Linked DNA regions of Neurospora crassa OR74A. The protein of the gene in region 1 purifies or fractionates together with the protein of each later gene. This does not show direct contact. Links are inferred from orthologs where the notes say so. Each region holds a gene or a part of one and is shown in the gene's direction. Other genes may lie near its edges.

Region 1 (4,314 bases):
CAGCTCTTTGAAGTCGCCATTGTATGTACTTACGAAGCTAAGCTAAGGCAACGTGCTATTGACATCTCAAACGAACTTTAATGCAGGATGTGTGATGAATCAAGGATTCATCTTTTCATCGCAAGTTACTGCATAGGTATTACTTTGATCCATTGGTGCTGTGGACAGCAAATATCGTCAAGAAGGTCAGCTTGTGGTCTTTGTATATGGCAGATAGCAACTCCATTAGTTCCCGCAGGTATCCGTGTCTCTCTTCTCTTCAACCTCTTTTACGAATCGTACCGTCATCCAAAGACACAGACCCCCAAAGCCTGCCGGAGCTTCTGACACGGGAGACACGGCTGTCGTCTTGCAGTATGCGGTGTACTCGCGTCGATCCAGGGTTTAGGGTATCACCATCACCATTGACGTCTTCCCTGTTACGCCGGCAAGGCCAGTCCATATTCCCCAGGTGATGCCGGGCACATCATGATATGGGTTGGCGATCCTCTTTCCGACCACCGTTGAGTTTCCCCGAGAGAAACGTTCGAGCACGTATCTTCGAGTACATCTCGAGTTTGTCGTCCCTGTCCCTGTGCAGACACATTCGTGACAGGGAAGCATCGCCCAGCATACGCCATGTTTGAGATATCCTGAATCTAAACTAAATGAGGTATGGGGTAAAGACGATTAGCGGGAGTGTCCACTTCTGCCATTTGTGATTTTCCCGAGTCTGCTGAGGAACCGTTTCCCCACTGGCATCGTTGATTGGTGTAGGTAGTGTAGCTTCCCCCGGATGCTCCTGTCGCGGTCCTCGACTCTTCGAAGCTCTTGGCTATTGAACAGAAACTCCAGAAGTAGGTATGCAGTGGATGTCATGAGTGCAGATTTCCTTTTGAACAAAGGCCAGGAAGAAAAGACGGTTTTATAAAAGGGGCTCAAAGGTTACTTCATTCAGTAGTAGTTGGGTTGTAAGTGGAAGGGAAGAGGAGCACGGTGTGTCGCGCACATGGGGTATCCGGTGCACCACCCTCACACCCTGCGTGCTTGCACCTATCCTGGCGCTACTAACGGTAGCCCACCACTTCAGCCAACTGCCCAGCACCGCCGCTGATAGGTGCAACTGAAACCGTAAGAGATGCCTGCCGTGAACCCGGACCTTCCATGCTCCGCCGCCGCACCGTGTACACCTGCAGCATGCGCCTCCAAGGAGGGACGGACCTCACTCACCTCAGCAGGACGGACTGCCAGGCGGGCGGGCACCATCCTGTCCCGTCGTTTCCCTCTCACGCATCAGTTCGTCACTAGCATGTAGTCTAGGTGAGGTAGGTACCTCTAGGTAGATACTCTAGGTACAACCTAGCCAGCCCAGGATGCCCGCCGAAGGATGGACCTTTCGGGTTCCTCTCGCTGACTGCCGCTGCGGCGCTGAAAGTGCTCTGCTCCTCCTCCTCCTCCTCCTCTCAGGTCCAAGGCCCAGTCCTCCTGACTTCCTATAGCACCGAACCTCTTTCTCCCGTCCTCCGACTCCTCCTCCTCCTGCACTCTCCCTTTCCCCTTCCCTCCTCACGAACCTCAATCCGCATCGGCTTCAGGCTTCCCTCTAGCTTCAACGTCAACTAGCAAAGCCGGACACCTCCCTCCCTTCTCTCTACACTCCCTCGTAGCAACTTTTCAATCTCTCATTATAACCTCTTTGGACTTGATTTCTTTCATCCAATCCGCTTTAACTGCGAAACAAAACTGTCCTTTGGGGCGACGTCTCCGCACCGCAACCAAACATACCGCAACTCCCATCGCATCTGATGCATCGCAACGGCAATCCGGCCACACAAAAAAGATAAACCCAGCTCAATAACCTTCCCCCTCGTCTCTGTTCGGTCGACCACGCCTCGATTCGATTCGACTCGACTCGACTCGACTCGTCTCGTGCTCTACTTTACTACTTCTTCACACGCTTTAGGTCCAACGCCGACTTCGCCTTGCATTCGCACTCGACGTGCACGTTTTCTGCCTGGATCACCCGAGTCATCTGCACCTGTCCGTCCCAACAACCTGCATCATGGATCAGCAACAGCAGCCTCAAGGAGGCGTCTCTGGCCCCGCCGGCCGACGGCTCCATATCGCCCATCGAAGAAGCCCGTCGGAGCTGACCCCGTTGATGAGTATGTTTTCAAACACGAACAGTATGTTTTGAGTTTTGCTATTGTCATCGCCATTGCCATCGTGTACTATCGCGGCGCCCCTCTACCGCTCTTGCACTGGTCCGTTCTTGTTCGTGGCGAAAAGCTTCAAAAGCCAATGATCGTACCCCTGACCCCGTCGCGTTCCCGTCTTGTGTCCTGACTGTAACCCCTCATCCCCCTCTTCAATGCGCTGGCGTACTGACTGGATCTTTTTTTCGGTGCAGTGGAACAGCTTGCCATCCAGCAGCAGATCGAACTCCTTCAGCAGCAGCAACAGCAGATTACAGCTCAATATGCCAACCTCGGCATGCTTCCGGCCACGCAACCCCTGGGCCCTGGCGGATTCACCAACTTCCAGCCCATTGCCGGTTTGGCGCCTCAGGCGGGCTTCCAGTTCCCGGTCCAGCTGCAGCAGCAGCCGCCCCTAGCTCCTCCTACACAACCGCTTTCACATCGCCGTAATCAGTCGGCCATTCCAAACATGGGCATGGGGGGCCCGCCGCCTGCTCCCTCTGCCGGCGCCTCTGGTTCGACGTTCGGCAACTTCCAAGATCCCACCCAGGGTCACGCCCGAGAGAACAGCACCGGCGGTCGTGGTGGTCGGGGTGGATCCGGCGGCGGTCATCAGAGAAGACATTCCTTGGCCTTGGCTGATGCCAAGAAGGCCGCCGAGATCGCCCAACAGAAGCGCACGACGTCTACCTTCCAGTTCCCTGCTGCTCCTGCCCCTGGCTCCTCCGAGAAGTCTGAGGATGATGCCAAGACCACCCCGAGCACCACTCCTGCTCCGGCGGAGGGCCAGATAGCTCAGGGATCGTCGTTCCGTGGCGGTCGTGGCGGCCATGGCAGGAGCCAGAGTATGGCTGTTGGTGCCAATGGCCGTGGTGGCCGCGGAGGCCATTTCTCTACCGACTCCGTGGGCCAAGGCAGCGACTTTTCCCGCCGCGCTCCTGGTAGCGGCCATGCCCGCACTGGTTCCCGCAACTTCGACGGCAACTGGAGGAACCAGAACCAGAACCAGAACCAGAACCAGGCTCAGGACCAGACCGCTGCCCTTCCTCAGAGCCAGGGCTTCCAGCCCGGTCACCGCAGCCGCGGCTCGGTGAGCCAGTCCATCTCTTCGATTGGATCCTTCCAGTATCCTGGACAGCCTCAGCTGGTTCAGTTCCCCGGTCAGATGATGATGCCCCAGGTTTTCCCTGGCCAACAACTCAATCCGATGCAGCTCAACCAGCTTCAGGCTCTTCAGCTTGCTCAGATGAATGGTCAGCCACTTACCGGTCTTGCCGCCAGCCAGCACGCTCCTCAAATGGCTGCTCCTGGTCAGCAAAGCCAGCAACAGCAGCGCAAGACGCTTTTCACTCCTTACCTTCCCCAAGCTACTCTTCCTGCCCTCTTGGGTAACGGCCAGCTTGTTTCTGGTATTCTTCGCGTGAACAAGAAGAACAGAAGCGATGCGTACGTCTCGACGCAGGATGGCCTGCTTCCCGCCGATATCTTCATCTGCGGCAGCAAGGATCGCAACCGTGCTCTCGAAGGTGATCTCGTTGCGGTCGAGCTGTTGGATGTTGGTGAAGTGTGGGCGCAGAAGCGCGAGAAGGAAGAAAAGAAGAAGCGCAAGGATATTACCGACACTCGTTCTGGCTCCATTAGTGGAGGCCAAAATACTGGTGACGACAATGGCAACGCTGAGGGGGGACTCCGCCGCCGTGGCAGCCTCAGACAGCGTCCTACCCAAAAGAAGAACGACGACGTGGAAGTTGAAGGTCAAAGTCTTCTTTTGGTTGAGGAAGAGGAGATCAATGATGAGCAGCAGCCTCTCTTTGCTGGTCACATTGTTGCTGTTATTGAGCGTGTTCCCGGCCAAATGTTTTCTGGTACCCTTGGTCTGCTCCGCCCGAGCAGTCAGGCTACGAAGGAGAAGCAGGAAGCTGAACGCGCTGCGAGAGACGGTGGCAATGGCCGCCAACAAGACTCGCGCTCCCACGAGAAGCCCAAGATTGTTTGGTTCAAGCCCACGGACAAGCGTGTTCCTCTGATTGCCATTCCTACCGAGCAAGCACCCAAGGACTTCGTGGAGAAGCACCAGGACTATGCGGACCAGATCTTCGTGGCTTGTATCAAGCGCTGGCCCATCACTTCTCTGCAT
Region 2 (2,513 bases), on another chromosome or scaffold:
CAGGGCCAAGTACTTCCTCATCACCCACAGTCTGGCACAGCGCTTCGTTCAGTTGCTTTCATGCAAGCAAAAGCATCTGCAGCTCGGTAGGCACAGCAACTTGGGAACAATGGTTAAATTGTCGAGCAGAGGAGGCTAACCTGCATGTTAACTGCTTTTAGTGGCCATTCGATTTATCAAGCAACTGGTATTGATGAACGACGAATTTTACATGAAGCACATTGCAGAGAAGCAAATTCTCGGCCCTATTCTCGATGTGCTATTAAGAGCGATTACCCGCGACAACCTTCTTTGTTCAGCTTGCCTCGATCTTTTCGTCCTCATTAATAAGGAGAATGTTAAGGACCTAATTAAGCACCTCGTGGAAAATTACCGGGAAAAGATTATGGCGCTGTCGCACATGGATACCTTCCGCGAAATGGTCAGTCGGTACGACCAGACGGAAGGCTACACAACCAATCCCGAGTATTTCATGGATGAAGACGAAGATGAGGGACCAACTGCGGCCGAGAGCGAAAGGAGACCGACGAGGCCGACCTCCGGTCTGATGGAGGAACAACTCACCGTCGACCAGGCTCAAGAGGAATACTGGAACGGCGTATCGGACGAAGAGGATGAAGGACCTCAAAATGACTCCCATCGTACCAACGGCACCGCTACTACTCTTCCTCTGCTGAAGCCCTTAGTCGAATACGGCTCGGATGATGAAGACGGCGTGGCGGGTGATGAGGCAACTGCCCCAGCAAAGAAGGACGATGAAGACAACAGCGCAAAGTCGAACGGCGAACCACCAGTAACACCAACAAAAGGTGGGCCGGCCACAGCCGCCGCTGCCGCCGTTGTCGCCACCCCGCCAGAGAGGATCTCTGAGAAGCGGCGCCGTGAAGAAGACGAGGATGACGATGCGTTCGACAAGTTACTGCAGTCCAAGCGCCGAGGGAGCAATGCCAGTGCCGCGAGCGCCGGTGCAGACATTCGCAAGAAGATGGGTATCTCTGAGGATGATGGACCTGCGGCCGAGGGTGCCACCACCGAGGACAATGGTACTTCAATGGCAGATCGCACATCTCCTAACCCTGCTTCCCCTCTAGCTGCTGCCACCGCCGTCACTACGAGTCTAAGCACACCAAAGAAAATTGCTTTCAATATCTCTTCCAAAGTCAAAAGCATGCTTGGTGGTGGTGGTGGTGGGAAACCTTCGGAGCCGGAGGCAGATCCCAATACAACAACGACTAGCGCGAATGATAAAGCGCAAGAAACTTCAATAACAACGGGTGCTACAACTGCATCAGGAAAGGAAAATGTGAGGATAGGAGAAAGAGAGGAGAAGGAGGAGGGGAAGGAGACTTCAAAGTCAGTGGTACAAGAAGTGGAAGGGGAAGAAGAAGAAGATCCAAACGCAATGAAAGACTAGAGGCTGCCTTGGGTTGGGTCAAGGAAGGCAACGCGAAAGGGGGGAATGGGAAGGAAGGCAAGGAAGGGGAAAGGCGGAAAGTGAAAGCCAAAACTTTAGGGAGGCAAAATAAAGGCGAAAACACACATATATTCTTCATAGATATGGATTGGCACCGTACCGATTTGATTCACCACCTCACAAACAGATGAATATAGCCTGGTATATTTACAGTTCAACAATTTGTTCACGTCTTGAACCCGGTATAGTCGCATCGACAAGGCCGGGGTTCATGAGGCCCCCCCTCCTACTAACAGCATAGTAGTGTACATCAGATAACATTGTTCCCTCCTCTAAATTATTTTCATTCATTCATCCATATCAATTGGTCTGCATGGGTGCCCGCCAACCCATGCGATACGATGCAATACGATACGATACATTAGAGCTTTGAATCGGTCAACCCGGCTTTTTCATATCAGATTCCATAGGTATAGTAGTATAACCAGCTACTCTGACCAGGCCATTTGCTGTCCATCCCATTCATGCCCATTCCCGTGATTATAAGTTGCGAGAGGTATAAGACGTTCACATGACCAACATCAACTAGCTTTTGAAGTATATGAAAAAAAAAAAAAAAAAAAAAAAAAAAAAAAAATTAGAAAGTAAAAAAACACGGTAATATGAGAGGAGTAAGACATCTAAGATATTGTCAAGGGTCTGGCCTTTTCCTTTTGGTTTCATCTCTTTGCGTCCTTGAATACTGAAGAAAGAGAAGTGATATTCACACCCATAACCATAATCTTTTGAATGAAAACTTTGTGAAAATGTGTGGAAACGACAAAGGGGGGAAAGTCAGAGGAAGGAACAAAACAGCCGACCCCTTCATGCCGCATGTAGTACATGCTTCATAAGAGTTTATTGCCACAAAAACCTCGAATTTCTCCTCATCTCGTTCCCATCCGGTGCCGCTTGAGTCGTCGTACTGGCCGTTGCCGTTGCCGTTGCTGCCGACGCAGCGGTCCAAGGCTCTGGAGGTAGGTCGTGCCTCGCGGGTGGTGCCGGGGTGGGAGCAGGAGCATATTCCGATTCAGGGGTAGCTCCTCGGCGAGGAGACAAC

What was found.
Region 2: the proteins of gul-1 (region 1) and NCU06389 purify together in Saccharomyces cerevisiae (affinity purification with mass spectrometry; 3 studies listed by BioGRID). This does not show direct contact. The link is inferred for Neurospora crassa OR74A from reciprocal best matches to the Saccharomyces cerevisiae genes SSD1 and PSY2.

Annotation. Positions count from the first base shown.
Region 1 is NC_026505.1:3,211,984-3,216,297, reverse strand, and holds the start of gul-1 (cell wall biogenesis protein phosphatase Ssd1), read left to right. Parts: upstream 1-1,415; 5' UTR 1,416-2,041; coding exon 2,042-2,165; intron 2,166-2,389; coding exon 2,390-4,314. UniProt on the Saccharomyces cerevisiae protein: Can suppress the lethality due to deletion of SIT4, and partially the defects due to BCY1 disruption. Is implicated in the control of the cell cycle G1 phase.
Region 2 is NC_026504.1:2,673,245-2,675,757, reverse strand, and holds the end of NCU06389 (DUF625 domain-containing protein), read left to right. Parts: coding exon 1-86; intron 87-161; coding exon 162-1,414; 3' UTR 1,415-1,758; downstream 1,759-2,513. Other genes in the region: NCU06390 (hypothetical protein), read right to left, coding at 2,312-2,513.